Astyanax mexicanus: one gene and its partners. The protein of the gene in region 1 interacts with the protein of each later gene in a pairwise test. Links are inferred from orthologs where the notes say so. Each region holds a gene or a part of one and is shown in the gene's direction. Other genes may lie near its edges. The genes, in order: stx4, plasma membrane ascorbate-dependent reductase CYBRD1, stx6 and vamp4.

Region 1 (7,947 bases):
ATGACAATGTTATTTTTTCATTCTATATTTCTCAGGTTTTTCTCATGGCTGGAAGAAAACGTAAGAAAAGCACAACGTCCAATTATCTGATCTCCACTGATCCTACTGATTTATCCAGAGACACAAGCAGCTATATAGGCAAACTCAGGTCATTAATCTTATCCTTCCATCTGCTTTTCTAACCCTAGTTCTCTTTGCAAAGGAAGAACGTGTTTGTTAATGATTGATTTTTTCTCATTGCAGGTCAAATGTTTTAGGGACTAAATTCACTGTATATGATAATGGAGAAAACCCAGAAAGGAAGCAGTTTATTAAGGAAAGTGAATCACTTCGGCAAGAGCTTGCAGCAATATGCTATGTAAGTTAAACATGTCATAAGGAACTTTGTGGTCAATATTTTATTATAATACTTAAAAACATATAATAAAAAGAAAAAAACATTATTTAATGTATACTGAATTACAGGATGCAGTAATTACTCTTTTTACTTCCATTTTATTTGTCACTGTCATTATTCCCCATCAAACAGGAGAAAAACATTCTGGGCTTTAAAGGCCCCAGGAAAATGACAGTGATCATTCCTGGCATGCATGAGAATGACGAAAGAGTCAGTATTCGTCCAAAAAGCGTAAGTAATGTTTTCTGTAAATCTGCCCTGTATAATTCCATTTCACTTTCATTCTTCCTCACTCTCAGTCTCCCTTACTGTTTCTTTGTGGGCACCTGATCTCACTTCTTCAGCCTCTCTTTAATTCTTCACTCTCGCAGGATATCGAATCTCTCCTCACTCGTTATGAAAATGGAAATAAGGAGAATCTGGTGTGTCTGGTGAATAAGTCACCCAGCTGGAACGAGCAGACTCAATCGTATGTGCTCAATTTCCATGGCCGAGTGACACAGGCATCTGTGAAGAACTTCCAGATTGTTCATCCTGATAACGGTTAGTAGGGGAAACACACACATTCTGCATGTTCTAATACTGTTTAAACAAACCTTTATAGACGTTGCATCAGTTTACATGTGGGGGAACCCAGAGGCAACCTTAAGGAACGTTCCATTACTATTTTAGATTAAGTGAAGTGTGACATGAGCCCTCAAGGTGTGAGATTGAGTTTTGCAGCACAAATTACTGACTTAATGTATTAATGGTTTCAAACCTAGAAGAATATTTTTTTTGTTTTTTCAAACTTATGACATATAAGTTGTGTTTTTACTGAGCATCTATTAACAAGTTTTACCTTTACCTACCTTATTCTGCTTAGCAAGCTAAAGGCTACAAAACCACAGTTGAAAAAAGAGGCTATATCCAGAAATTCCCAGGAATTGTTGTAATCTGGCAGAGACTTTCCTGGGAAACCCTTGCAGTGTGTGGGTGAGCATTATCCTGCTGAAAAATACCTGTTGGAAACCCTCCACAACACATGTGGCTGCAGGATGTTCTGCACATATTGATAAGCTGATAGTTCTCTTTATATCACTACTGGGGTGTCTGACTGTTCAATGGCTCATCAGATAATCACACTAACACTTGGGGCAGTGTGTTGCTCCACAGCAAGGACAGGATATAAATGCTCACCATGAGGCACTTTGAAAAGACACTGAAACCTGGCCATGATAATGTTTTTTTCATGAATGTAAAAAGAGTTATCAGATGTTTGTAAAATAAGCCTGTAATATTTGTTTCTCTCTTCTGTGTTGTCCAGAGGAGTACATTGTAATGCAGTTTGGAAGAGTGGCAGAGGATGTTTTCTCCATGGACTACAGCTTCCCCATGTGTGCTCTGCAAGCATTTGCCATCACTCTGTCCTCATTTGATGGAAAACTGGCTTGTGAATGAACTCACGGCTTTCGTTGTATGAATGTGCTATTTAGGCTACTAGAAGGCACCACATCTGGGGACTTATGGCCTTTGGAGAACTTCAGTAGCAGAAGTTCTCATGTATTCTTGGACAAAATATATATTTATTGTCAGCAAGTTTTGGAGGCAGCAAAAATAATGTGCAATAAGCATAAGCTACAATAGTTATGGGTTATACTCACATTTGTATTTTCTTATTTTTTTATGTTATGACATGTCATTCCATAAAAATAATTACTTTACCGGTGTTTGAAAAATAATAATAAAAAAAATCATGTATTAAAGAGAATACGTCTCGTATGATTTTTGTAAGATTAAATAAACCGTGTACCGTATTTTTCGGACTATAAGGCGCACTTAAAAACTTTTAATTTTCACAAAAATTGACAGTGCGTCTTATAATACGGTGCGCCTTTTGTATGGATTTTACTCGTCAGGTTGTAAGGAGCAGTAAACACACACTCCGTGCAGCGTTATAGAGAGTTTCAGTGCTATACAGAGTCCAGAGCCGTGCAGCTCCGAGGCTGAGCAGCAATAGCATTAGCTAGATGCTAACCGCTAAGCTAGCTAGCTTATTCAGTGAGATCAGTATTATCTAAATTTTACTCGTCAGGTTGTAAGGAGCAGTAAACACACACTCCGTGCAGCGTTATACAGAGTTTCAGTGCTATACAGAGTCCAGAGCCGTGCAGCTCCGAGGCTGGAGCAGCAAATAGCATTAGCTAGCTTATTCACTGTTCAGAGATCAGTATTATCTAAATTTTACCCGTCAGGTGTAAGGAGCAGTAAACACACACTCCGTGCAGAGCAGCAATAGCATTAGCTAGATGCTAACCGCTTAGCTAGCTAGCTTTTTCACTGTTCAGAGATCAGTATTTTCTAAATTTAGCACTTTTAATACTGCTGGAGCAGTATTATTAGAGTTAGATGCTAATCGCTAAGCGTTCACCGTTCAGAGGTGAGTTATCGGCCTGTAAGTCTGTGCTGCTTTGCCTGGCTAGCATTAGCTAGATGCTAAGCGCTAACTCTCTCAGAGGTGAGTTTTATCAGCCTGTAATCTGCTTGTTTACAGTGTTAAAACAAGCTACGGGGGACGAATCGCTAGCTAATATCTCACTGTCTTACCAGAACATGCAGGATTACTCAGTGTAACGCTGTCGTTTAAGTTTGGGTTAACTTTACTAGTTTAGGTGACTAGCTAGCGTGCTAGCGGATAGCTATGCTAACGCTGGTGCAGCAAGCCTTAGTGGACATCTGGAAATCTAAGCTTACTGTAAATAAACTGAAGCACGTTACTCACCCAAAAAAACAGTTTTCAGGAGAGGAATCTGTGTAGATTAATATCCAGCACTCGTTTGACTTTGAAAGAGCTAGATTTATATATACTGAGACGCTCCACCGGCAAGCGACCACCCCCGGTGGGGGAAGGGAAACATGGCGCCACCCCTGTTCACTTTGATATAGGCACCCTTTCTAGTGTCACTTAACGCGCCTTATAATGCGATGCGCCCTATGTATGGAAAAATAGCAGAAAATAGGCGTTCTTTGATAGTGCGTCTTATAATACGGTGCGCCTTATAGTCCGAAAAATACGGTATATCATTGCTGTTCAAGGAAAAACGTGCATCTTCAAAACAGCAATGTTACAGAAGAGAGATAAAACATTCTTAACTTCAATGAAAGTAAAGTAAAGTAATTTAACAGCTGTTTGATTATATACTAGCTCTAAAAACAGAATTTTGACACTGCCAGAACAAGACCTTCTACATTTTTCTTGTTTTTTGTTAACTAGTTAACACGTTTTAATATGTTTATTTAAACTGTCATTTACACTATACATTTTATGATAAGTTAATACAAAGTTTTTTTTGTAATACAAAGTATTTGCAGAAATAAAACAGTGTGAAGTTTGTGATGTCACAGATGTCAAATGTTACTTTTTTAGGGAGCTGGTTATCCCAATATGACAGGGTGGACAGGCAATTTTTGGCCATGTTTAAATAGCTTGATATATTTTTATTATTAATTACTACATTTTTCATAAATATGTTATTTAACCCCTAAATTAATGATTCCTGGCAGCACTCTGGATATGGCAAAACAACTCGCATAGAAAAACTACAGAGCCCCTAAGGTGACATCATGTATAAAAAAAAAGATGACCACGACTATGGCCGTGACTTGAAAAATTGTGGCCACGCATTAGGATCTTGTTTCCAAGTTTTAATAACTTTTGTCCATGCAGACTTAATTATTTTATTCCCACTCCTTTATAAGTCATGGCCACGCATTGTACAAAATGTACAAAGAGTGCTTTAAAGTTAAATCTTGGGAAAGTATTAATACACAGTGTCTATATGACATTTAAAGAACTATGCTGCGGACACAAAAGGAAGGTTATATTATAAAGCTCTGGAAAAAAATAAAAGACTAAAATAAAAAATGATGGGTTTCTTTGATTTTACCAAATTAAAAAAAACTCTGTAATATAATCAAGAGGAAGATGGATACTCACAAGCCATCAAAGTAAGTTGAACTGCTTGAATTTTAGCATCAGGAGTGGCATAACGTTATCCAAAAGCAGTGTGTAAGACTGGAGGTGGAGAACATGCCAAGATGCCTGAAAACTGTAATTAAAAACCATTTTTGATGATTTTTTTTTCTTTTAAAACTTTAAGAATAGTTACTTGTTTTCTCTGCATCATTTAAGGTTTGAAAGCTCTGCATCTTTTTTTGTTATTTCAGACATTTCTCATTTTCTGCAAATAAATGCTCCTAATGACAATATTCTTATTCGGAATTTGGGAGATAAATCAGAGAAACTGATTCAGAAACTGAAGTGTTACAGTATTATTGTATGCTGACCTTTATGAGGGTTTAGGGCGTGAGGGCAGGGCTCTCAGTAGGTGGAGATGGTGTGCCTTTAATGGTGGCTGTGTCACACACTGAGGAAGAGCCGTTTCTTTTTGACTTTGAATGGAAACTCCCTTCTTCTGTTGTTGATGTCAACAAAGTTAGTGCGTTAGATGAAGAGCCCGAGTCTGTAGAGAGGGTTTAAACAAGGAGCAACGATGCGAGACCGAACCAAAGAACTGGGAAACGTGAGTTAACTAACTGATTAGCTTAAACTTTTCACTGCAGCCCTGCTGAAACTACTGGAGCCCGTCAGAGAGCTAAACTCAGGGAGCCTAGCGCTAGTGGACTTAGCAGGTTAGCTGGAGGCTAGCTAGCTCTGCTGTCATGTAGCATTAGCTGGCTAAACAACATTGCAGCTAATGTGACATTATAACATATTTATGTAACTATGGGGTATTATCCTCGTTAAAAATCTTAAACGACAACTATATTAAAATATTTAGCTGTGCAGAAATGTATTAGAATGTAGCAAACTATCTAAGTAGTTAGCTAGCTAAAAAGCTATCTAGCAAGCTAGCTAAGCTAACAAGATAGTTACTCTGGCAGGCTAGTATGTGGGTTAGTTAGCTAACCTAAATGAGTGGAGTGTATTTTACGGTTCTCTGAAGATCACTAACCTGCTGTTACTCTGATTTTCTGTTCTTTTTGATTAGTTATTTTGCTCGTGTTCAAGCATATCCAGGTCTGTCACACACATATACATGATTTTTTAAGAGGAAAGGAAATCTAAGAGCTGCCACAGAATTTCCACATCCGTTTTAACCTAGAATGTTTTGGGACCAAGGATTTTATTTGCTTAACAGGAAAACCTCCACAGCCTGTGAGTAATTTGTATATAATTGTAGCTGTATAAACACTCTTGTGCAGTGTACATTTAACTATCTGGTTTTCTGAAGGGGAACAAAAATCTTTAGTATTCTACTAAAAAGCTAGCATGTATAGCCTAAACACATTTTAAATTGTAGTTAAATATGTTAAATAAAGCTAGTACACATCAGGTAAAATATGTTGAATTTTTAAGATTCTTTTTATTAATTATTATATTATTATTTAATTATTATTTATTTTTTTTGGAAAATAAAAATGTATTTGGATTCACAATAATTACACAACAATTACACACCTGCACACACACAACCACTACTCGCATATGTACACTATGCTGTTGTTGTTGTTCATGAGATGCAGCATTTTTTTCAACAACAGCTTCACCACTTTTTCCTTTGTGCAGGTTTTAGCACTTACAGACCTGCATGTGAGCAGATCTCAACCTCCACTGTTCCACTGAACTGCCAAAGCCTGCACTGTACAAACCACAAACTGAACTTTTCTAGTATATTTTTTCTGCTTGTGGGCATTTACTTTCATTTTTAAATCTTTGGACAGTGGTCTAGAAAAAAAAACATGTTTGCTAAATGTTAGTCTTAAGGTTAGTCTTAAGAGATAATTTCTAAAGCTTGGAAATATATTTTAAGTGACTGTTCTGAATGACAGTTGGTCAAAGGCCTAGGGACTGATTTGGTTATCCAGGTTTGAGATTTGTCAAAAAAAAAAGAAAACCTCCTGTGCAGTGGCAGTGGTAGGTTGCCAGATTCTTGCACAGTTTGCTAACCATCTGCTTTACAGATCTGCTAACCCTGGCACATAACATGTGTTGAATCAGGTGTGTTTGATCATGAAAATGCTCAATGCAATCTGGCACTCTGGAATTGCATACACGTGTGCAGCATTGTGCAGAGGCTATGTTGATGTTTTTGTATACAGCTGTATATATTTATTGTTGTATGGTGTTTTGGGGCGTGTTTATAGCGCGAGTGTGGGGCAGGTTTTTGCTGAATCAGTGTTGCTGTTAGCATTGTGTGTGATAAAGAAGGAGACGTAATATATAGTACAAAACCCTCCTAGGGGTACAGGGTGTTGTGGATGGACATTGATCATAGTGTTTCTTAACCATGTCAGAAGACATGTCTAAAAAATGCATAAAACTGTATTCTTACACTTGTTAACATTTTATTGTTGCCAAAATTGTTAGAGCATACAGAGATAATGCCCTTTGTAGCCTTCTTATTTACCTCATATCTGTTTATATATAGTACTATATTTTAAGTGTTTAGTTCATTTACTTGGTCATTTGTTGCTGTAAACATTAAAATAAGGGAACTAATCTGTAGCTCTTCTTTACCTCATACATTTCCATGTCCACATAGCCTGCAGAGGGTTCAGATGAAGATGAAGAAGGCACAGCCCTCATGATAAAACCAGGCACTGGAAACTCTGGAAAGGAAGATAAAGATAATGAGGCTTTCTTCAGAAAGGTAAAGCTTGTAAAACATTTTAGCACATGTATTTAACACAAATGGTAAGCAAAGAGCACATGTAACTCTTTCTCTGTCAGTTAAGATAAACCAAACAAACGCATTGTTACAACAGTCTCACATTTAATTAATTTCATCTTAATTATCAGTTAGAGTTTTAAGTGAAATGTGATTTTATTTATTATAATCTCAGTACTAATAAAATAGAGGTTTTAGTTCAGTTATGGTTAAAAGTTTACAAGTGTGCAATAAAACACAGGTGCAGGACCCAAACAAATACATCAGTGAAAAAGCCAAAAAAGTGTCCACAACAAGAGGACTTGTTTATTTATTTGTCTAGAAGTGAGAACATGACAATATGAATAAATAAGCGAATCTTCTTGTTCAACAGTATGAACTGCTTTGGCTTTTTAATTTTTAAATTTTTTTTTTTTTTTTTTTTTTTTTTTAATTTTACAACTTTCCATCCTAATATTGTTAATCTTGCTCTACAGGTCCAAGAGATCCGAGAAGGCCTTGAAACTCTTAAGAAGAAAGTGGCTGAACTGGAGAACAAACAGAAAACTGTTTTAGGGGTGGCACTGCCAGATGACAGTTAATATCTCTATAATTTCTTATTTAATATAATTTCAGCCTATTATTTGTGTATCTATTCCAGTAACACTTTACAATGAGGGTCACAAATAACTGTACTTATGACAGTAATAAACATTGTTAAATTGTTACTTAATGTCTCAACAAATTATTATTTAACACTAGTTAAGACATTATTACGTTAAGATATTACATAAACAGAATTAGAATGCTTAAGAATGTTTGAAAAATATATTTATATATATATATATATATATATATATA
Region 2 (8,107 bases), on another chromosome or scaffold:
TGGTGTGGGCTTTACTAGTGATGGGGGGAGTCGTAATGAGTGGGTTGGGTAATTGGCCATGTAAATTGTGGAGAAAATAGGAAAAAAATTAAATACAATTATTTAAAAAAATACAAATTTGAAAGGTGGTGCAAATCAAAATCTGGTATGATTAAAATAAGAGGTCTTGGTCTGGTTTGTCTGCAGTATGAAAGCCATTTTTGTAGATGTTTGGACATTCAAACCAGTTACAGTAAGCTGAAGCAAGCTATCATCAGAATTTAAACAATATCATATAGCAGTTTGAGGGTAAACACGTACATTTGTCATTTATATGTCTACTATAACTCTATATTAACCCTTATTTCATAAATAAAGTCAGGATTCAGCTCAACACCTGGAAAAGCAATTTGCCAAACTGGCAACACACTGGTTTTGCATGCACTTTCACAAACCAATTTATGTTGCCTATATAGGTGATGATGTGGGAAAGTTCTTTACTCACTAAAACTGCAGTATGGAAGAGAAACTAACAAGATCAACTGTATAAAATGTAACAAACATTTTTACAGGTGTAAAAAACCCTCAAATTCCTGAAAAGAACTGTGTGAAAGTTAGTGTTAACCATGTAAAAAAGTCCATAGTGCTTCTTGCAGATTCAAATAAACAGTTAATCTGTCTAATACATAAAAATATTTATTTTAAGATTATATAAAACATATCCATTGAAGCTTTGTACTATTGCAGCAGTGCAACCAGAAGGAATAAATAATAGAGAGCTCTCCAAGCATGTCACTACCAGTGGCAGGCAGGTGTGTTTGACAGTAATTGTGGAGAATTGTCTACAGGTACCACAGGCTCTGCAGAAGGCCCCAACTGTGAGTGCTGACAGAGATGGATAGAGCAGTCAGATCAAATGTGTTGATTAAAATAAAAATGAAAGCACTGAAGTATCTTATGATTTGTTGGAAAATTAAAAACATGGTTTTATTTCCCAACATCTGTTATTTATTAAAATGTGATAAACATATGTTCCACTCGGTCGGCTTCCTTTGAAACAGGCAAAGAATGGCGTGCAGGACATGAAATGTGACTCGCTGGAGGCAGATTGGATCTTTTTTCACCCTGATGATTCAGGAAGGATCATCCATGCTGGGCCTAGCACCATAAAGTGAGGCTCCTAAAAATATATTCCATATTGAATTACACACATATGCACATATACATATATTAACATGAAAGATTTGTAGTAGGGCAATAAATTAGATTATTATAGTGCAATTATATTTCTAAGTGATCGTTTTCTTTCAGTGTTCTATTATTAATATTTTGTTATGGTTTTCTCTAAAGTGTTCTCAAGATAATAGAAGGAAAAGAGGTTGACACGAACTATGAAGTGATCCATGATTTCTCCATCATTACTTCTCGAGACAGAAGTGTAAGTCATTCTTTACTGTCTGCTTAATTTCCGTAACAACACTTACCATTTTCACACCCACACTGACCATGAACAATGGACACCAACCGGACTTTACGGTACTTAATGATCTACTCTGTGCATGACAATTTATAAAATGTTAATTCTTTCTGCATATTTCATGCAGGCCACCTCAAAAGTGACAGTGACCTCCTCTGGTCGTACTGTTAAGAGAAGATTTCAGCAACTGGATGATGATCCTGAACAAGAGGTAATTGGGGGCCCCCCTTTTTTTATACATATAAACATGCAAAAAAAAAAAAGATATTTTTGCACACTAGTTAACAATAGTTTATTATTTAAAAAAAATCTTCAGATTTTTAAAGATTGTTTTTAATATTGCCTTTTTTCATATTTTTATTTATTTAGGCAATATAGCCTCATTTTGTCACCAAGGCCACTAGTACTGTGTCCTCTGACATTATGTGTATTATGTACTTATTTTCTCTGATATCTTTAGACATTTAAGATGGCTAAGTATGAAGATGAGCTTGATTTGTTGGCCATTGTGGATGTAAGTCCTACTGCAGAGGATGTGGGACAGGCTAGTGTTCGACTTTATGACAACAAAAGTGGAGGATTGATGAAGAGAATTACCCTTAATGAGCCATGGGATGTAGTGAGTAGATCATATTTTTTTTTTGTTTTTTAAGGTTTATTTATTTTATCTAAAAATAATTAAATTTATTTGTTTTTCTCCAGAGCAATTTTTCCCAAAAAAAGTTTCTTTCTTTCTTTCAGACCTACAGTCATGAAGTCTACCTTGACAGAGACACAGTTATTCACATTGAGCAAGAGAGGAATAACAGCTTCTGTTGCCATGTTTATAAGATGAACCGAAAGTCTAGTTGACCAGGCCACATGCCACTTTTTTAGATGTTACCTAGATCTTAGAAATTATTTTTGTATTTATTTTTATTTTCATTTTGCAGAATTTTAAAGACCACATGCCTTAATGTTTTATTAAAACTGAATTAAACGTTGAATTTCTGATAGTTTGTGTGAGTGGACAAATTATTCTCTTGGTCATACATTTCTGTCATGCTGGTTGCTGCTGGAGTAGTAACTGGTGGCCTCTTGTAACATGATAGCTTTAGCCTGGTTTGGGTCACTTTAACCCATCTCAAATATAAATGCAAGCACTTTAATATCGAAATGACTTAACATTTTGCTATTAAATGCATTGCCAATATTTACTTTCTTTTTTTTTTTTACATTGTCTTTGGTCATGGAGCATGTCATGATGCAAAAAGGACATACTGGCTGAAGCACTGCAGTCAAAAATGCAAGTGTTTAAAGGATAATTCTAAAGGTGTAGTAAAATATGATAACGAGTATGAACATTTGTCAAATAGCCCGTCTCCGTTTGATCCCAGCATTCTAAAATACAGTGCCTAAAGCCGATGCTCCCAATAGGCTCACAATTCAAGCGACAAGTTCATAGAGTCCATGCAAAGAAATCACTATTTTACAGTACAACTACTTCAGTACTGTAAGTACTAAAATGCTAAAATCTGTATCTACTGAAGTATTATTTTCTCCCAATTTCTTTTTAGCTGCATTTTTCAATGAGTTTAATACTTTTACTACGATATACATTGTTGTGCTCATTCCAAACCCAGATGCTCTGCACTGTGGGAATGGAAAATGAAAATAAAATAAAGGTTAATAAAATCTCATTTCAGCTACCCATCAAAGAGGAATTAAGGAACTGAAGACATACAATCTATACCGGGTATAGCTATATCTATACCGGGTGCTTAAAGGTTTGTACCAGTTCTTAGGGGGAGGATTTCACCCCTTACCCTTGTACTTAAAAAAAGAGGTAGGGGTCATACCTGTCAAGTCTCCCGTTTGGCCGGGAAACTACCGTATCTTACCTCTCTTTCCTGCTGTCCTCCCTTAATAGTATTGTCCCGTATTCTATTTTTATTTTTTATTTTTTTTAAATCATGCGCCTCGCCAAACTAAAATGTCACTAACCTTAAGGCCCTGTCCGACTGCGATTGCGTCTAAATATCCACTAAAGTACGTCCAAATTTATCAGAAAACACTGCGTCCACTGAGTGAACGCGCTGCGTCCAAAATATAGACGCAGTGCGTCCAAATTACGTCCATATTCCGTCTAAATTGAAGTTGGACGCCGACTTCCAAATTTGTACTTCGACGTCCACTTTTTGGACGTCGACTTCCAACTATATATGGTTGTTTTTTCTAGTGAATCATCATTTCTTCTTGAGCTACAAGAGAGAGCACATCTATTCTCTTCTACACAACCATGGACCACAGATTCCTTGCAGTGATTGTGCAGCAGCAGAACATACTCCTCCATGTGCTGGACCAGACCAGGAGGAGGAGGAGGCGGCAGCAGGAGAGGACTGTATGGGTCAGGCCTTGGATTGTACGCCGGGTGGAGTTTGGACTGTATGACCGGCTGATGGTAAAGCGATGGACGCCAGAAAAATATTTTTATGGACGTCGACGTCCACCTGTACGTGCCGTCCAAATATCCACTAAAATACATCCGTACTGCGTCTAAATATCCACTAAATTACGTCCATATTAGTCGCCGTCTATTCCAAAAATTTTGGGAGGTACCAAAACCACTTTTGCGTCTAAAGTGGACGGCAACGTCTAAACTACGTCCACTTGGACGGTGCCGTCCAAATATCCACTAAACTACGTCCAGATTGCGTCTAAATATCCACTAAACTGCGTCCACTGAAATTTGGACATACTTTAGTGGATATTTAGATGCAATCGCAGTGGGACAGGGCCTTTACAAGAACTGCCACCCAGGAGAGAGAAGGAATTCCTGCCAGAAAGTTTGTAAGTGGTTCACAGGTGGTTATTTTTTATTTCTTGCATCGTAAAATGTAAGGAATACTAAACCTGGAGGGCAGCTCAAAGCGGGCAGCAGAAAATTTCCCTTATTTTTAAATCCAAATCTTAACAGGTATGGTAGGGGTGCACAAGAAAAATGGGACTGGGCCTTGGTCTCTCTACTTTATACATGTCTGAACCGCACCCACTTTCCCGCCAAAAATACTCCCATCTCAAAAGCAGCTGTAGTTGTCGCTTTAGCAGGGAGGTTTGCTGGGCATAATATTGTTGCAGTTCCCCTTTAAATGTAGGACAGATGTCCGTGACGTCAGGTTTAGTATAGTGGACTGAATCTCAACACAAGGGTGTTTAGTATTGAGAGTTTTTTTAGTCTAGTATTTGTAGTGTGGTGTTATGTGATGATGAATCTCACCATTATGTCTTATTGCGTAATGATGGTAGATGTGGCAAGTTACAAAACGGAGACTGTGGAGTAAAAAAACAGAAGAAGTTTGTGTTGGAGGAGCTGCTTGAGACGGAGCCAGCCCCCTGAGTGACCTCTCGAAATTCCTGCAGAGAGAGTCTAGAGCTGTCTCTCAGTACTGAGGAAATGGAAGCAATGGAGAACTACAGGCTTTTCCTCTCTCTGCTGCTCCTCGCCCTCTCGCTGGGCTTCGTCTCGGTCGTGTTCGTCCTCAGATGGGTTTTACACTTCCGAGAGGGGCTCGGCTGGGACGGAGGAGCGGCGGAGTTTAACTGGCATCCGCTCCTGATTATCATCGGCTTCATTTTCCTTCAGGGAATCGGTAAGAAACTCGAGTTAAACTTAGTTTAACTGTTGAAATAGTGCTTTGTGTTCCGTATTTTATTATTGCAGTTATGTGTAGAAGTGTAGCTAAGAACTCTAGCGCTTGTTGTTGAGTTTCTCACTGTGTTGAATTACATTCCTAGTTTTTAAATCCAGTTGAGAAACAGCAGCTTTACCCAATTCAGGTCACATGATCTCTCATGGAAATCCTGAAGTAAAGGCGTCTGTTTGCCAAGATTAAACAGAATAGCTGCACAGAGCTGTTTAGATAATTAATTAAAGGAATCAGGAGTAAATGTCTCTAATAAAGTAAAAATAAATAATACCTCTATTCTTTATTTGCTTTGTTAAATAAGAACTCCGGTGTAAAATTAACTTTGGTGTAAGCTAAGAAAATATGATGAAAAATACTTAACTTTGTTGAATAGCCCACCTCTGCTTTATATAAGATTATCCAGGTTCAAACTAGCTCCACACCTCCTTGGTAGAATCCGGAGAGCTCTGACATTTAAAATGAAGCATTAATAACCTCAAAAGTGCACAAGAAGCTTATTAAAAGACACTGTTTACATCCTGTGCCTCTGTCATTGTACTGATAATAACATAAATAAGGCTTCATTGACTCTGCAGTAGACATATATACATAGAGTCTGCATAGCCTGCCATCAGGCTATGCAGACTCTATGTATATATGTGTCTGTCATTATCAGTATGATGATTATCAGTATGATGATGGCAGTGCACAGAGCTAAAAGCTAGCAGCATGGGATGCAAACAGTGTTTATTAATAAGTTTCTTTTTTTTACCATTGTTTACCATTTACATTTAATTTGATATAAAAGTTTCAGTATAGAATACATGTGATTTCTATTTATTTATTTACTTAGAAAAAATTGACCGTTGTTTTGGTTTGTATAACTCTGTTTAATCATGATTCTGACTGGTATATGCATGAAGTCACATACTGAAATGGTTTAATTTTACTGCAAGATGTTTTTTAGATGTCTGTCAAAGATTGTAAAAGGCACAGCCAAAATGTCAGTGTTTTTGCCAGTAAAGCTTCAGTCACTGAGCAATGAAGAACTTCCTTCCTGTTTCAAGCGTATTTCAGAGAACCAGACAGCCTGGGTTAGAAAGCTGAAAGCTAAATAATATGATAATCAGCAATACTGCCTTTTAGAATATTAAATGTATAGTTTAGTTATTTTCTTCAGTAGTCTTAGTTTAACAGTCCATAATCCACTGTCACATGTATAAGCAGCAGGGAATAATTTACCCATATTTATTGTCCAGTATTTTTTATGCTAAAGGTTTGCTTTCATTTACACGCCACTTAACCAAAATTCTCTCAGTTTAGAAAAAGTTCATTTTGTTTGTTTGGTGCAGACACTTTGATGTGGTTTGGAACACAGTATGACTTATAAACACAAAAATAAACCTCTCTACATGGATGGCTGAAATGTGGGACAGTTATTTTCAGTAGCCTTTCCATTTTTATCTTAAATGTCTGAATAAGGTCTACCCATGCCAATTTGCTAAATATTTGTGTATACAGAGATTAGCTTGGAGTCTGCCTATGTGCAATGTCTGTTAACAATGTAAGCCTAGCAACCTCCTATTGCAGTGATTTGCAGTTCTGGTCATGCTCTGATGTTCCCCGAATTTCAACACATCTTATTCAAATAATACACTAAGTAATGAGACTTCACTTGATACCACAAGGGTGTTTTACAGCAGGGAAAAACTACAACAAGCAGGGTAGTGGTGAAGAAATACGAAATTAAGTATTAAGAAATAATACACTAAACGAGTCACTGAAGAAACACTGAAGAGATTATTATTTTTCACAATTAATCACGGATCCTCACAGAAGAGTGATGGGGCTGCAGTTTTTAGAAGCGTTACAACGTATTTCTAGCTGAATATATGCTTTTTTGGAATGTTAGCAGACTGTTTAGAAAATATACTTGGGTTGGTCTATGGGAGGCGCCAGTAACCAAAGTAAGATGGATAAACACTTCAGAAATGAGTGTAATTTTAAAAGATAAAATGTCGGTATGTAAAATCGTGATTACTCCATGATTCGAATTACAGTTACATCTGAATTAATCGTAAAAATCACCCAGCACTAAAAGAAAGTATTATTTGATGAGTCCGACTAAATCAGAACACAAATCAAAGTGATTATGCTCTTTTTTTTCCAGCAATTGTTGTGTACAGGCTCCCATGGACGTGGAAGTGCAGTAAGCTGATGATGAAGTTCATTCATGCAGGCCTAAATGTGCTGGCCTTCATCCTGGCTGCTATTTCTCTGGTAGCGGTGTTTGACTTTCATAATACTCAGAACATTCCCAACATGTATAGTCTGCACAGCTGGGTGGGGCTAACTGCTGTCATATTGTACTCATTACAAGTAAGTATTTACAGAATTTACACACATTAATAAGTTCCAAATATAAATCAAACACTTATATATATTTGTTTTTTGTTTTTGTTTTTTGCTGCAATTGAACAGATCGTACTGGGCATTGCCATCTACCTCCTTCCTGTAAGCCCAGTACCTTTACGAGCTGCATTTATGCCTCTACATGTGTACAGCGGCCTATTCATCTTTACTAGTGTGATTGCTGCTGCTCTAATGGGCATTACTGAGAAGCTCATATTTGGCCTGTAAGTATGCTTACACACTGTGCTGATGAGTATTCCAGTATTACTGGTGCTTTGTGTCCTGCCACTGTGGCCACACTCAATAACACCATTCTGGTCAACCCGAAATTATGTCATCAGTAATGTTTAGGCACTTTATATGATCCATGTCATTAAAAACGTGTTATTAGTTATTATATGACTTATGGTTCTGATACAGATAGAACCATTATAGGAAAGACCTTGAGATGAACTCTTACTTGCAATATACAGTTTCTTTACCAATTTAAAAAAGGATTTAACTTTATCAACGCATTTAAAACGTTTTTCTTTTCCAATTGTCTCATAGGAAAGACCCAAAATATAAAGATTCT
Region 3 (7,807 bases), on another chromosome or scaffold:
CCTCCGCTTCCTCCTCAGAGGAGTTTGAGGAAGTCACCTTTGTCCGTTTTACAGGAGAGTCATTGCTGGCTGTCTTCTCAGCAGTGCGCTTCCTGTTTGAACAAGAGTGAGCTTTCGGTGGTTGCTGTGAATTCCCTTCTGTGACCGTGGCGGGGTTAGCATCCGCCTCACAGTCCGAAGAACTCACTTCAGCTCCTTTAGCTTCACATTGAGATTCACAGGTCACAGGAGAAGATGTGAGAGAAACATCAGTAGTAGAATCCTCTGAGGAAGACTCCTCTTCGGCCTGATGTTTGGAGTAGACGCTGTGGAGATCTGTGGAGTCTTCCACAGCCTGGCTGGTGTGCTGAACCTCAGGATCCTCTGGAACCACAGGATTCTGGTTGCAGTCAGTTGATGGGGACAGAGATTCCTCAGGGGCTGGAGTGAGTGGCTTCTCCTGGTTGGAATCCATCAGCTCCCACTCCTTGGCCTCAACATGCTGGGTGTTGAGGCAAACCCCACTGTAGTAATCACTCAGATACACTTGGCGTGCACTTCTGAGCACCAGAGACACCAGGAGGTTTTTGTGGAGCTTGATGCCTCCTCGTTGAACCCGGGAGTTGTAAATTTTCCCCAGGGAGATACTCATTATCCGATGGGCCTCCACTTTATACTCCATGGTCAGGCTCGATTCAGGAACACTCGAAGCAAAATAAATACAAGCAGTTTCAAAGTTCAGCTCCAGTCAGAGAAGGCTTGTCAGCAGGCTTGTTCTCCTTCAAGTGTGAGTCTCATTGAAACATTGTCCATCCAAAAACGTCAAAAGAAATGGTCCAACAAGCTTTAGAAACACTCACTTGGTCTTCAAGTAGTTTTTAAATGAAAATAAAACCTATTTTAAAATAAAAGAAGCCTTACAATTCCTCTAATTTAGGAAAAAATATGGTTCTCTACTCGTTTTATCAACTTGATACGATAAATAAAACCAACCGCCACATTTCTGTGGTTAAAGAACGTAATACTGATAATTCTATGTTATTGGGTTATACTATAAGCCTGCATTACCTTCCGTACGGTCTCTCTCACCCAACAACAGCCTAGAGAGGAATGAGACCGTTTCTATATTTAGACCGCTTTTATACCCGGACGTAACGGCTACGCTGACCAATCACATCGCGCGCTGAACGCCACCGACGCTGTCAACCACGCCCCGCGAAACCACTGCGGACCAATCGGAACGCGGGATGCAGATTAGTCATATTTAAATACTAACGTGGGAGAAAAATTTAAAGAGACCGAAATGTTTTTAGGCTGAGCAACCGAATTATTACTAAAAACATCAATGAAAAATTAAATAACTAAAAAAATTACGTGTAAAATTAACAGCAGTATTTTTGGGCTCTTAGACTGTAATTATCTTCTGATGGTGGCTATAAACACTGAGGATCTGTATTATCATTTATAAAACGACTGATACGAGTCTAAAATCATGCTTACAAACATAAATATAGCTAAAACGGTGAAATGGTGGTTTTCTTTTTAAAATACAACTCACTTTGTAAAATCTCACAGACTGTGCTATTTTAAGGCGTGCAATGTCTTGTTTTTGACCGCTGTTAAATAAAAATGGCCGTGTCCCCTTTAACTCTCCTTGCTTTCAGCCAACATCCTGGACTGATGTAATGGTTTGTGTCTCCTACAGGCGGGTCACGTGGTCCTATTGTGCAAATCCTCTGCGGTGTCTGAGCAAATGTGAATGGGAGCCGTTAGTGAGGGGGAGGGGAGGCGGTGTTTTGTTTCAGGACCCAGCTAAAGCCCAATGTGACACCAGACTGAAATAGCTGAACGCCTCGCGAAGGCTTAATACATTTAAATACGCAGCGGTCCTCTGGTAAACAATTCCAGGTTATCTTTCCCACTGTGTGCTCGATATAGGTCACAACCCGCAAAACACCGCGCGGGGAAAAGCAGGGAGTGACGTAACACGTTTTGTGTTTACAGTGTGTGTGGAGGAGAGTGTGAGAACCCTGCTAAAAAACACAGCCCAGCTGATTTCAGATAGTCTGGACTGGTATGTACTGGTCAAGGCGAATAAAATAAGCTGGTGATTCAGGTGAAAACATACCCTGGTTAATCAGCTCAGCTCTGGCCAATTATAAGTGTATTTTTCATAATGTTAATGGACTGGTTTTTCAGCCTGACCAATTCAACAAAGCTGGTTTAATTTGGTAAAGCAGATTTACTAGTTTAGGCTGTTTGGTAAAGTCGGTTGATCAGTTTTGGCATTTTGTTAAGACCAATTGATCAGTTTTTGCAATTCGGTAAAACTGATTATCCAGTGTTGGCAGTTTGTTGAAGCCCATTGATCAATTTAAGCAGTTTGGTAAAACTGATTGATGAGTTTGAGCAGTTTGTCAAAGCCATTTGATGAGTTTTGATAGTTTGGTAAATATGTGTGATGAGTTTAGTAATCTGTTTAATGAGTTTGGGCAGTTTGGTAAAGCTGATTGATCAGTGTTGGCAGTTTGGTAAAGTAGTTGATCAGTTTTGGCAGTTTGCTAAAGCCGATTGATAAATTTAGGGAATTTGGTAAAGCCAATTGACTAAAAAAATACCCTGTTATTCACCCAGTTTGTCCAGGTTGGGTCATCACTGCTACACTACAGCTACATTTCTGTGAGGTTAAGATAATTATTATTGTACTGACCACAACTGTATATCACTGGCATTATATTGAAAATGAACTGAAGTGATGTGTTGTTAAGTCATGTGTATCATTAGCTACACTTAATATACGTGTTGAACATCTATTCACAGACGCTTAGACCAAAATGGTTAGTTTTTTTTGTAAGTGTATTTTGATCTGACCTTTTAATTAACTGCACGTAGACAGGAGACACGGTGGTGTATGTTACCGGGATACTGTGGTGTAGGTATCCCAGCTAATGAATGAGCCTCATGAATATTTAAAGCATTTTAAGTGCTGCAGTCAGCAGTGCATTCGGACAGAGGTGGTAACAGTGACCATCAGGACCGGTGTGACTGTGAATGGGCCTGTTATGGGTCTACATTCATGTCCTGACTTGTTTTAAACACAGGAATGATTAGGCAAAAAGTACTGACATATAGATATATACATATATGTTTTCCTTTATATGTCATTGGTTGTTCAGATCAGCAATTTCAGTTAAATATATCATAGAGCAGATGAACACAGTGATATTTAAGAAGCAAAATTAAGTTTATAGGATTTACAGAAAGTGTGCATTAATTCTTTAAAACAATATTAGGTAGGTGCATAAATTTTGCACCCCCAACAGAAAAGTACATCAATATTTAATAGATCCTTCTTTTGCAGAAATGAACACTCTGAACACTTTCAATAGCTTCCAATAAAAGAGTCTGGCTCCTGGCTGAAGGTGTTTTGAACCATTCTTCTTTACAAAACATCTCCAGTTCAGTCAGGTTTGATGGTTTCCGAGCATGGACAGCCCACTTTATATCACACCACAGATTTTCCATAATATTCTTGTCTGAGATGATCATTCCAGAATGTTGTACGTGTTCCTCTGCATGAATACCTTAGTAAATATTGAGAAGAGTTTAGGGACGTGTTCTCATTGAAGTATCCAGCCCTGGGAATTTTTTACTGTAGACAGCAAGTGTTTGATTGGGAATGCTTTGTTCTTTTTCCGCCATGCATACTGCCCTCCAAATAATTCAATTTTAGTTTCATCAGTCTACAGCACCTTATTCCAAAAGGAAACTGGTTTGTCCAAATGTGCTTTAACATACCTCAAGCTACTCTGTTTGTGGCCTGTGTGCAGAAAAGGCTTTATCTTGCATTACTCTACTATACAGCCTCTCCTTGGGCAAAGTGCACTGAATTATTTATTCTGATCAATAAAATGACATGGGTGCCAAATTTTATGCACTTACCTAATTTTGGTTAAATAATTATTGCACACTTTCTGTAAATATTATAAACTTCATTTTACTTCTCAAATATCACTGTGTTTGTCTGCTTTATGATATTTAACTGAACTGCTGATCCGAACAACCAGTGATTTATTAAGGAATATCATGAAAATTATCTGGGGTGCCCAAACTTTTTCATACCACTACAGATAGACAGACAGACAGACATGCAAACATTCTATAAATAAATACATATTATTTGCACTTTACTTTATTAAAACATAATTAATTTTCAATGGTTTTTTCAGATTTCACAGCTCTGCTGACCTCTGCCCCGGATTGAGTAGAGGGAGTGATGGCGGAGGGCGCAGCTCAGTCCCGCACATAAACAAACCTTAAACCCTCAGCGCTCTCACAGCGGCCACAGACACGGGCACAGCCGCCGGGGTCTGGAGCATGACTTTATACCAGAGGAGCCATTTACTGTGAGCAGCACCATGTCGATGGAAGACCCGTTTTTCGTTGTGAAAGGGTGAGTAGAGTTAGCTTTTCTCAGAGAGCGGAGCTAGCTAACGCTAACGCTAATGTTAACACGACCCAGCCTTAACAACAATGGACCATGCTGAAGTTCTGTTTTACAGTCTTCTCAGATTTATTACAGATTTAATATAGTTACCGGAGTGTGTCTTTGAAGGAAAATGTTTGTACCGTACTAAATTATTTTTCTTTACACACGTTAGTTAGCTTAGCTAGTCCGCTAACTAACTAGCTTAACTGCTTTGTTATGATGCTTTAAACTAGGTTGCTATTAGGCTAACGCTAGTTAGTCTAGCTGCTATCTGCCTGCATTCATTACTAACTAGCGTTAGCTTTTTGGATTGGTTTAAATTTTGTATAGTAATAGGATAATAGCTAATTCATTTTTTATTAAGAACTCTATACAAACAGGCTTTAGGTAACATACATTAACGTTACATGTCCAAGTGTTTGCAGGTACTTTAAATGTACACTATTAACGTGTATAAGATTTTTACAGTATCTTACAGCGTTAAAACATAGTTAACGCTAGTTAGCTAACATAATATCCAAAGCTGTATTAAACTGTCGCAGAAATATGGTGTTTTGCCAGTGACAGACATTGTTTTTAACCGGCTAATGCTAATACACAAACACTACAGAACCCCAATTCATATTAAATTCCCCAATACTTTATTATACTTATTTCACATTTATCAACAAATAAGTTTTTAGTCCAGAGTTTGCTCTATAACGCACAACACAGACAAAGGGTTATAAAGCACCTAGGAAAAGGTTGGTTAAAGGAAGAGGTGTAACAATATTCATGTTTTTTAACTAATAGCTTAGTTAAATCAGTACTGAATGTCTTATTGTTTACACTGTTATTAAAAATAAGGGATCTTGGCTAAACCGCAAGGCTGAATTATTTACATAAGCAAAAAGTTCTGACTGAATTGGTTTCTGCTGATGCTCAGTAGAAGACTGGTAGAAGATTGGGTAGAAATGTTTTGCCACTATAATAGGATTCTGGAGGTGATAAACATGATAATATTAGGCACCATGTATGGTCTAGAGGGGTATAAAGACTTCAGCATTGTGCAGTGGAACTGTGTTCTCTGGATTGATAGTGTTTTATGTAATTCTTTGGTGGAAGAGTCAGGGCCACCAGCTAATGCTCTTGTTGCTGAATGCAAACTAATGTTTACAGTACTGCTATAAAATCTAGTAGAAATAGTCACTCCAACAATTACAGAATTATTTTTCGTATTTTTTGTAAGACCCCATGTTTTAGATTACCCCGATAGTATCTATACTTTGTATCAGCATTATGTCCACATTTATGCATAAATAGCCCTGTCACAAAAAAACTTAGCAATATTGTCCCACAATTGATTGCGATAATACTTTTGTGATCAAGACATTTTATGCCCATTATTTAATGTTGTGAAATGTACTTGGGTTGTAGTGAAACATAATGACAAGTACAAACTTTTGGCAAATAGGCCACCTTTGTTTACCCGGAGTTCCAAAATACACTGCTTTTTGCCAGTTCTCCAAACAGGCTTACAATGTTAGAGATGGGAGCATAGTGTTGCTCATGCAAAGAAATTAGCTACTTTTACACCATTATCGAGCTCAAAGTAGCTCCACACTTCATTGGTAGAATTCTGAGAACCCTAACATTTAAAACGAGCCACTGAAAACTTTAAAAGTGCAGATAGTTTATTTAAAAAACCTTTAGGTAGTACTCTCGGCACCGCCATCTTGAAATTAAGCCATTAAAAAGTCGACTGATGGGCACTTTCAAAGTGTCAGGGTCCTCGGAATTCTACCAATAATTTTTTTTTACCCTTGTTAATAGTGTAAAAACAGTGATTCCTAGGGGCAATTTCAAACATCTCCAGTTTACCTGAACGGTGGTCTTTGGACTGTAGGAAGTAACCAGGACTCTCTTCACAGAAAGATCCTGGTTGCTCCAGCTGGGATTTAAATCCAGGTCGTCTTAATGTAGGTGACCGCGCTACCCACCACGTCAACATTCTGCCCAAACAAAAGAAATAAAACTAATAGTAATGCTCTTCTTGCTGAGGAATCCACAGTGGTCAATACTGAGTTACTATTGTATGACAAGCAAATAATGTAATTATTGTGACAGGCCTATGCATAAATTGCTATTCAGAATACATCTAGGATAAAGTTATTTTCCTAAGTTGGCCAGCTAGATATGTGCTTTAACAAGCCAAGCATTCACAGCCACCTCAGTAACTCTCACTATTCTGAATATTCCTCATGTTGACCTGGAATAATATGTCCCTTTGCTTAGAGAGGTCCAGAAGGCTGTGAACACTGCACAAGGTCTACACCAGAGATGGAGTGAGCTTCTTCAGGATCCTGGTGGTGCCTCCAAGGAGGAGGTAGACTGGACCACCAATGAGTTGAGGAACAGCCTGAGGTCTATAGAATGGGACCTGGAAGACTTGGATGAGACTATTAATATCCTTATCATGCTTCTCAGATCAAAACAATGTTTTTATTTGTTGTTATTCATGCTCCTAATACTACTTTAAACAAAGCCTTAACAGTAATTTCAAGTATTGTAGAAGCAAATCCAAGAAAGTTCAATCTTGATGCGGTAGAGTTGAGTAAAAGGAAAGCTTTCATCACCAGCACAAGACAGACTGTCAGGGTGAGTTTACTTTGGGTTCTTTAAAAAGTTTTTCATGGTGATTATTACCTGTATGCATATCTCTGATTTAGTTAAAATTGTCATATTATCAACTACATTGATCATTTGTCAATATGAATAATATAATGTTATTAACAATGTTAATCATGTTTTTCTTTTTTTGTAGGAGATGAAAGACCACATGGCTAGCCCAATGGCTGTCACCATAACAGACAAGAAAAGCAGACAGGTATGTATGTCAAGTTATACAAGTCTATCAACTTAGTTATTTTCCCATAGGATTGTGGGCTATTGTAGTTTGATTATCTTGTTATTATTAGTTAAGAGATCAAAAATGAGGGATATTATAACACTGTACTTTACTGCATCCACCCATGACAATGTTGTGATTCAAGCCAATTTCTCTGAATATTCCAGTGGACTAGAATCATATTAATAATTTAAGAATCAGATAAATAAAAAAAACATAGCATAACTTCAAAAGTTGTATTAAACTGTTGCAAAAATGTTGTTTTACCAGTGGCAGAACCAGGTGCCTTTGTTTTTAAATAGCTAATGCTAATACACACACAATATCGAATCCCTAATCATGGCACATTCTCTTTAATATACTAGAATTTCACAATGTTATTAAACAAACTATAAAGGATACCTTTTTTGAAGTCAAAACTAAACTAAATAAGTCAGTTCAGAATGTCTCAT
Region 4 (8,834 bases), on another chromosome or scaffold:
CTGCAGAAGGCAATGGCAAAAAAAATTGTTCATAAACATTTGGACAAGTTTAGGTTGTTTTTCTACGGTATAAATAATTCAGTTAGAACTTTTATGTGTATTTGTGCATTAATCTAATAGAAAAGGTGTGCATGCGTGCGTGTTGTTTGTGATAAATGATCCTGTGTTTTCCTTTGCTGATGCTCTGGGGGCTTTAACAGGCTGTACAGGCACATCTGGGGCTCATCAGTCACAGGTTTGGGCAGTTTTCCTGCAGCACTGCATCCCCCGCTTCTGTCGTTTATAACCCTGAAATGCACTCCCCACCTCTCACCACCAGCTACCCCACACTCCCCTATAACACCAACTATCCTAACCCTCCTCTGCCTCCAAAGAAAACACCCAGCCATAGAGAAGTCTACAAATTCCTAACCTCAGACCTTCACCATCCTTCAGCTCAAAGTGCTCAAAGCCTTGGGAGGTCTGCTTATACCATCAGAAAGGAAGGACAATTCAACACCATTCAACTTATGCAATACATTCCATATTTTTTATTTTATTAAGTTTCTAAAATTTTGATAAACAATATTTAGAAATTACAGAGATTTTTACAGTGATTAATTAGTGAGTAATTAGACCATTAACAGGTGAACAGGAGACTATGATTTCTGAATGTATAGAGAGGCAGTGGAATCTTTAAGACCAAATAGAAAAATATAAACTGTACCAGTCAAAAGTTTCAACACCCCTTCTCATTCAATGTTTTATTATTTCCCTGCATTGTAAACAAATACTGAAGTCATCCAAAGTATGAAGGAACACATAAGGAATCATCCAGTAAACGTAAACGAGTTCAAATAGTAAATGAATAATGACCCAAAACATATTGCAAAAGCAGCTGCAACAGATCTAAAGCAAAGAAACACAATGGCTGATCCAGTCACTTGACTGAGCATGCTGGTCAAGACACACAAACAAGCAAATGCTAAAAGAGACTGTAGTGAACGCTGAACAAAACATCTCAAGAAAAGATTCTCAGCATTTGCTGATATCATGGGATCCTGACTTTGTGTAGGATTACTGCACATTTTCTGCATCCATGTATAAAAAATCCTGCATATAACATTATTTTAAGCAATAAATAGTTAAGCATAAATATTTAATTCTAACATTGTAAAGTATGTTCGAGTTTGAGTATGTTTAATTCATTTTTGAATCTTAATTAATGCTAAAATTCTAACTTTCAATCACACCATGACAGCTTAACAGTTAAATTTGTAAACCCATAAAGGTGGTTTTCAGAGTCAACAGTGCAAAAGAAACATGTAGCTGTCCAACTATTATTGGATCAGAGTGTGTATCTGTTCGTCCAATGCACCAATGCTTTGAAGAGGCTTTATTATATATGTTGTAAATGACTGGGTTCTAAATGAATTACTGTTCTCTCAAAACGTATTACAAATACACCTGAAATCTGTGAGAAATTAAGGTCTTGTACAATTATTAAGTAAGCAATAGAGTAATAGATTAAGAAGGAGTAACCTGAGGAAATATTCAAGACTCTACACGTTCTACACGTGTTATTTTTACTCATACCTAAAAACTCATTGTCATGACATGATTTGCCAAATACTTCTCTGAAGGGGTTCAGAATCTTCAGAATACCTCATCAGTCAATACGAGGCACAACATAGCTGTGCAATTCATTCTAATGCATAGTTAGAGTCAATGTAGAGAATTTTAGAGGAAGACAGAAAGGTCTTTCCATTATTTGCATCTCTCTCAGTGTAGTCTCCCAGGATTGAGCAGGTGACACAACTGACAAGACTGGAACTCACTTCATCCTGTATACGCTGAAGGTCACCGTAATTTATACTCTTCTAGCTTTGTCCATCCATCTTCCCTTCTCAACAAGACTTTGAAGTTAACAACCAAAATGGACCAAGGCAGCTATGCAAAGAACATATTTTTGACAGCTTTAGCACTGCTGTACACATGCATATGGGAACATCTACACACCTGTATATGTGTGTATATGCAGTATCCTTACATACAGCATAAACATTTACTACAAACCACAACAGAGGATAAAAACTATTAAAAAATGATTACTAATCTTCATGTGATAAAACTGAACTTTTCCAGAGCTTCGTCAAGTGCTTTCTCGAGGACACACAATCTCATCTTTTCACTCAGCCAAGCACTTCCCACTCCCAGGAGGAGCTTTCTGCTTTAGCAATCATCCTCATCAGTGTGTGGAAAATATTCCAGACTCGCTCGCTAAACTATTTCTCCGAAGAGCCGCTGCATTATGTTTCTCTTGTTTATTTGTTTCTGATTTCACGTGGTTTCATGTGTGTAAATCTTTTTAAAGGCTTTTTTTCTGTTTGCTTTGAGAATTTTTATCTCTGCGATGCTCTTCTATGGTCCCAGCCAAGTTCTGCTCGTATATCACAAATATGTAGTTCAAGGTAACAAGGTGAAGAACTTTTGCCCCCGTGACATCCACTGAGAAAATGAAGCAATTGATTTACCAGATTTAATTTTACAAAATGTTGCAACTTATTAATTGGAATCTTAACAGTGGTATTTGTTACTATTCAACATAGATAATAGATAATAAAAATGTTTGTGGAAATAAATTTATTTATTTATTTTTTGTTTCTAAATGTTCCAATTTTTCTATCAAATTTGGAATGCCAATTACCTTATCCCTGGTAATATGAACTCTACCTATCACCAGTAATGCCCTCAACACTAAGAGAGGCACATGCCTCCTCTGATTCATGAAGTTACTCACCGCCTCGTTTCAAAATGGTGCTGATACAGCATCACTAGATAGCCAGATAAGACCAGCGTTCTTATCTGTTCCCGAGTTCTGATACATCAGCTAACACACACCTGTGCTGACCAACATTACACTATGAGATCTGAGGAGGAAACACCATAAACCCTGGAAGAGTAAGACACTTTGTGTCCTAATGTCATAAGATATGATCTGAGATTTGAACAGACAATCCTCTAATCATAGTGACAGCGCCCTAGTCCAGCACCTCGGAATTGCTTTTTAATAGTATTCATGAAATGATTTAATAAGATTTTTTTTTTCACTAAGAACAGATATGATACACATATAATGGTACAAACAACAATTTGTCTTTTTTTTCTTTGTATTTAAAGTATTTCATCCTTATGAGCTTGTTTGACATCCATTTCAATAATTATGGGCGATCGATATGAAGGTAGAAAATTGGAAACAAACAAAAACAAATGTGTGAAACATTACCTTTCACTGCAATTAAGAGGGAAAACAGCAGCCCCAAGACCATTAATAGTATCCCTGGTACACTAAACTCTGGTTGGCTCTAGGCAGTCTGGTAAGTATTGTTCTCCTGGCATCTGCCAAACTCCTAAGTTCTCCTGGCATCCCAGAATCCCTGATACTGACTCCTGATTCATTTGTGAAATTGTGAAAGTGAGTGCAGGGTTCAGTGAGCGAGAGACATTCTTTTCACACATGGATCGGGCTGCTTGAACTCCATTGAAATAACTTTTGTAACGATTCAGAAGCTTTTGGAAACGATGCCACAGTGAATGCATGCCATAGTCAAAGCTAAAAGTGGTATTTATAGTGTGTGACCTTTATTTGACCAGGTAGTGTATAAAGCAACTGTCAAATATACTGCCCATATACAGTTTTTTAATTGTGATTTTTATAACAGTGTCTGGAACCCATGAAAACATTAAGGTGTCCGTACAAAAATATGAAGGAATTGCATCATGTAACCATAAGCTGTTTCTAAATTGTATTTGTTATATAGTACACTAATTTGGGATTCTGCCATTTTGTACTGGTGTTTGAAAACAAAGTTTTTAACTGTACCAATCTTACAATGCACTGTGATATATAGTGTACAGAACCAGACATGGAATACCCGTAATTATGAATTAATAATAAATAATCAAATCTTGGGTTAAAGAGTGCATTGCAGACTTTCCAAGAAACACTAGATTGTTCAGATTGTTGCATAACACTGCCCTTATCACACACATAATAACAATATTTTATACACCACTACAAAATAGTGTAACCCAAAAGTAGTGCCCTACAAATATGTAGGCCGCACATTGGGACGATTGAAAATTGGAAATTGACATGTTTAGCCCTTTAAAGCAGCTGATTATACAGTACTAATTAGTAGAATGCTAACCTGTAATGGTTAAATACAGTTATGTAAACTGTCTATTTTACAAACAATTAAGTCTGTGTGTTCTAGTTAGAGCACAAGTACCAAACCATCCCTTGTAATTAACGGTGTCACCGGTATTCACATGCATTACTCTGGTAGAAGTATAGATACTAGGGTTTAAAAATAATTCTGTAGAAGTTAAAGTATCAACTCAAGCTTTTTACTCTTGTAAAAGTTTAAAAGTACTGGTTTCAAAACTATTTAAAAATAATTTACGGGGGAAAATGCCATTAAGGACAAAAGCTGAGGATGTGCCACAGGAGCCTATAGTATAGTACCCCCAAATTTTTTAAAGCCATAATGGCTGTAATGTTACATTAAAATGTTAACGTTGAAACTTTGGGGATGCACTAGGCTGCCTGTTTCAGCCACATAAAGGCCCATTTCAATGAATGAATTTGGTACAATATAAATATATTAAAGAATCATACTAGGCTACACAAGTCTGCTAGATTCTTGCTGGAGTCTGGGCGTGATGTGTGCAGGTGAGGTGGATTGTGAATAGACCAATAGGATGTCGAAATGGTATGTGTTTATACTTCTTAACCAACCACAATCATAATCACTCATAATCACATTTATCTGGAGATTTATCTGGTTCGTTTTTTACAGAATGAAAACAAACTAAAACAAGGTTTTTTTAAAAATGTAAAAAAGTAGAAATTACAGATAATTGTTAAAAAAGTAAGGATTAGAAGTGAAAAGTTGTACTTCATTACTTGACACCTCTGCTTGTAATTTGAGTATACATATTTATGTGTGCTAATATCTAACCCTTATTTCCAGTATGAAAGAGGAAATTGTTTTTTTTTTCAATCAATGAAAACAAAACATAATACACATCAAATAAAATTTCATATAAAAATGATAAACATATTCTCTTGAGTGTACACAATGCATACATATTGTTGGGGGGTATACATAAATATAATGATTTAACAGTTGTAATAGTTGTACTGTTTTACAGAGGGCTGTTACAGAGGGGAGTTTAATATAATATTTTAACTCTTTTTAAAAGACCACAAAAATCCTGATGTATAACTACAGCATTGTGAACCAAATCACAGCCCAGCTGTTTGACTTCCTGGTCATCAGAGGTGGAGCGGAAGAGAAGAGAACATCACTGCAATATACACATACACATCCTCACAGCCCTGCTGCCGAGAGGCTCTTCTCTTCTCTTCCACTGACACACACACAGACCACTTCCAGGATCCTTAGATCCTCAGTGGTGTGAGTCGTGGCTGCAGTACAGAAGAGCACTGCACCCCACAGGACCAGCACAGCCCAGGTAGAAGAGGATCTGTGTCTGTTGAGGTGTGTGGAGGCCTGTGTGTCTCTGTGTAGAAGACAGCAGTGCCTGTGTCACTGTCTCATCACTGCATGATGTTCTCCTGATATTTTAGTGTAGCTAAGCTAGCTAGCTACTTGTCTCGGTTACGCTATTAACTAACAACCCGCTAGCTAAATAACTGTCTATCTAACGTAACTTATCCAGTTTAGCTAACTGGTTTAGCTAGTCTAAACCAGACAGTCTGACCGGCTCAGCTAGCCACACAGCTAACCAGCTAGCAGAATCATTTAGCTAGCGTTAGCTAGGCTAAGCTAAACTAAGCTAGTTAGCTAGGAGGCTTCGGAAGCTAATATTAACAACAGTAGCAGCTTCGTGCTGCTAGATAATATTTATTTCTGATAATTTAGATGGAAATGTCCTGTGTAAATATGACGTGGTGCTGTCATGTCTTAGTTTTTTTTTTTTACATTTGTCTTGTAAAAGTCGGCGTTTCTGCTTAGGTTTAGCTCATTAGCTAGATTAGCTAACGTTAGTTAACTGGCACCTAACAGTTACATTGTGTGATAATAGCTTAGCTATCGTAGCTCAGTGTTTCTCAACCCTGGTTCATAAGGCCTAGTCTAGTAAGTTCCTTTCTTTAATCCACATTCTTTAACTCAATAATGAAATGTTAAGAAGCTAATGATCTGTATCAGGTGTTTTGGTAGCAGGGAAAACAGTAACTGTTAGCTAAACAGTGCAGGACAGTGAACCTCCAGGACCAGGCTCGAGAAGAAATACTGAGAGAGCTTAACTACCTAACCCTAGCTAACCTAATGTTAATGTAACGTTAACTGAAATCTCTGTGTTTTATTCTCTGACAGATGTATTTATGCAGAAAGCTGCGTTTAAAACAGGTTATTTAGCTGACCGGTTGAATCATCATCATCATCTTAGTTGTCGTTTCCCTATTCAGTCATATGACTCAGTGGCTGATTAGATTAGCAGTTCTAGAAATGTAAAGGGGGTCATGGCACACATTCTCAGCTCTCAGCTCCATTCTCTCTTGTGGGGATGCTTCTGGTTCTGACTAGTTCATGCAGATGTGTTTATCAGGCAGATATTTACTTGCTTCACTTGCTTGATGCTATCCCCTGTCTGATAAAAACAGACAAACAAAAATAAACCCTCTTTGGAGTTTAGTACTGATTTGGTTTTGTGATTGATGAGATGACTGTGGCCCAAAAAGGGGTGGGCAATAAGGCCCTAAAATAATATCACAATATTTCATGGTATTTTTGCGATAATACTTTTGTTGATATGACAAGATTGACAAAAAATATTTCAAGGATTAAAGTAAAATAAATGATACTGGACAGATATAATCTGTCGGGAGATATAATAGTAAATGAGAAGAGTGTGAATTTTTCTTTTGCTAAAAACAGCAAAGAAAGTAGTCCCCTGATGTGATAAATAGGGGTGGGTGATGGCTCGATATTTCAGGGTATAGTATCGTTCACAATATTTAAAAATGTTGGCGATATTATTGCATACGATATGATGTGGCACACAACTACTGCCCAAGCCAAGTCTTTGTGTTACTGGTTATGTGGATATGTCTAAAGGAGTAACAATTTATAGGCATATAGAATTCACTGCTATTCTATATTATGTATCATAAAAATATTCACCTTACATTGTACCTAAGCAGTCTAGTACTGTATTGTGTGCCATTTTCGTAAAGAAAAGAGACAAAAAAGAATGTTATGATTTATATTACAAGTTAAATGTTATAATTGATGTTTCATGTCATTTATAATTGCACATTTACAGCCTAAACCGTTTACAGATGATGCAACTATGGCCTGGATATATGTACACTATATGTCCAAATGTTTGTGGACACACACACACACACACACACACACACACACACACACACACACACACACACACACACACACACACACACACACACAAGTTGTCTCTGTCATGCAAAATGTATTGCCAATAAAATAAAAATCTCTACAGCAGACAAACATGAATGGCATAATGGCACCATATCTAATACCATGAGTGGGCTAGAAGGAAACATAGCCTCCAGAATAAAGCAGTGGTTCTTTTTTTTGTTTTTTGAAAAACCCTGAGGGAGGCACAAAATTAATGAACAGGTGTCCCATTACTTTTGTCCATATAGTGTCAATTGATGAACCCCTACTGGTGTCACCATTTCAGTGTTATTTGCAAATGCAGTGCTTTCAGTGTTGGGTGAACTGATTACTGTGTGCAGTGCGGGGGTCAGCAGAGTTTATCTGATTGCCCTTTAGAAGGTTCTGCATCGTCTGTTTGTCTGTCCCACTTACATTTTATGTCCAATCCACATGACCAATTCATGTTTTGTACATCAGTTTACTATTTTATGCCAATAATGTTTTTTTCTCCGTTCATTCTATTGGAAAATTATAATGGCACCCTTGTTTGACAGATCTGGCAACTGAAATGAATTTTACATACGTTTATGGTCATTGTGGATTCTTGCCTGCTGCTTTCTTTTTATCTGTCTCTCTCATATTTCCCGTTATCTTTATCCCAACCGTCTTTCCCCCTTTTTCTGTTTCCTTTTTCCTCTCTCTCTTTTTTTTTTTTTGCTAGAGCTGCTTATCCCTAACCCCTCTTCTCCTCCTCTGCTGATTTGTGGATCGTTCCGCCGTGCTTGTGGCCAGGAGAAAACCTGTTTTCCGACTACTTTTCCAGCACATCAAGCAGAAAGCAGTCTCAGAGAGAGGACAGTGACTCAATGGTATCAGACCCCTATCCTAAATTTGGATTGTGTCTGTGGTTGTGTGGGAAAGAGAGAGAGAGAGTGAGAAAAGTGAAAGAACTTCTCTATGGCTTAAACTGCATAAAAAATGTGAAGAATTAAAAATTAACTAAATAAATATACCTCCCAACCAGTAAATATGTCCATCATTGTTTCAAGTATTTTTTTCAGAAATAATTATGATTAAGCTGTTTCATAGAGCCAGGCTAAATATGAGAAATTATATTTAAAAAAACATTGCATCAATGAGTAGGTCATGAATTTGAACTAACTTTAAAATCTTGGTATTGTTTCACAAACTTGTAATAGGTAAGAAATTATGTCTCTGCCATTTTCACTCTGGGCTAAAGAGCTGCAGGTGCACAAGATGGGCAGTATGGTAATGATTTATTGCATCGTGATACTGAAAAGACTCGTTTGGTCTTGTAATATTATTTTACAGTCAGTCCACATGCTTCTTTGACACATGCTTCTTAGATACTAGTTATGTTTTTCTCGCATTTCATAAAGA

The links.
Region 2: the proteins of stx4 (region 1) and plasma membrane ascorbate-dependent reductase CYBRD1 interact in binary tests that used the Homo sapiens proteins (3 or more experiments, as listed by UniProt). The two-hybrid records come from large-scale screens. The link is inferred for Astyanax mexicanus from reciprocal best matches to the Homo sapiens genes STX4 and CYBRD1.
Region 3: the proteins of stx4 (region 1) and stx6 interact in binary tests that used the Homo sapiens proteins (3 or more experiments, as listed by UniProt). The two-hybrid records come from large-scale screens. The link is inferred for Astyanax mexicanus from reciprocal best matches to the Homo sapiens genes STX4 and STX6.
Region 4: the proteins of stx4 (region 1) and vamp4 interact in binary tests that used the Homo sapiens proteins (3 or more experiments, as listed by UniProt). The two-hybrid records come from large-scale screens. The link is inferred for Astyanax mexicanus from reciprocal best matches to the Homo sapiens genes STX4 and VAMP4.

Annotation. Positions count from the first base shown.
Region 1 is NC_064422.1:28,696,944-28,704,890, forward strand, and holds the start of stx4 (syntaxin-4), read left to right. Parts: upstream 1-4,745; 5' UTR 4,746-4,929; coding exon 4,930-4,959; intron 4,960-5,023; exon of another isoform or gene 5,024-5,594; intron 5,595-6,981; coding exon 6,982-7,089; intron 7,090-7,583; coding exon 7,584-7,683; intron 7,684-7,947. Other genes in the region: si:dkey-220f10.4 (tubby protein), read left to right, coding at 36-148, 244-358, 530-628, 769-940, 1,704-1,837. UniProt on the Homo sapiens protein: Plasma membrane t-SNARE that mediates docking of transport vesicles. Necessary for the translocation of SLC2A4 from intracellular vesicles to the plasma membrane.
Region 2 is NC_064418.1:30,821,139-30,829,245, forward strand, and holds the start of plasma membrane ascorbate-dependent reductase CYBRD1, read left to right. Parts: upstream 1-4,690; 5' UTR 4,691-4,889; coding exon 4,890-5,085; intron 5,086-7,291; coding exon 7,292-7,500; intron 7,501-7,602; coding exon 7,603-7,757; intron 7,758-8,082; coding exon 8,083-8,107. Other genes in the region: dcaf17 (DDB1- and CUL4-associated factor 17), read left to right, coding at 1,041-1,150, 1,330-1,417, 1,584-1,667, 1,917-2,075, 2,198-2,308. UniProt on the Homo sapiens protein: Plasma membrane reductase that uses cytoplasmic ascorbate as an electron donor to reduce extracellular Fe(3+) into Fe(2+).
Region 3 is NC_064423.1:15,822,364-15,830,170, forward strand, and holds the start of stx6 (syntaxin-6), read left to right. Parts: upstream 1-4,219; 5' UTR 4,220-4,397; coding exon 4,398-4,432; intron 4,433-6,742; coding exon 6,743-6,911; intron 6,912-7,009; coding exon 7,010-7,105; intron 7,106-7,271; coding exon 7,272-7,334; intron 7,335-7,807. Other genes in the region: ier5 (immediate early response gene 5 protein), read right to left, coding at 1-661. UniProt on the Homo sapiens protein: SNARE promoting movement of transport vesicles to target membranes. Targets endosomes to the trans-Golgi network, and may therefore function in retrograde trafficking.
Region 4 is NC_064408.1:62,580,424-62,589,257, forward strand, and holds the start of vamp4 (vesicle-associated membrane protein 4), read left to right. Parts: upstream 1-5,325; 5' UTR 5,326-5,520; exon of another isoform or gene 5,521-5,546; intron 5,547-8,154; exon of another isoform or gene 8,155-8,225; 5' UTR 8,226-8,299; coding exon 8,300-8,302; intron 8,303-8,834. UniProt on the Homo sapiens protein: Involved in the pathway that functions to remove an inhibitor (probably synaptotagmin-4) of calcium-triggered exocytosis during the maturation of secretory granules.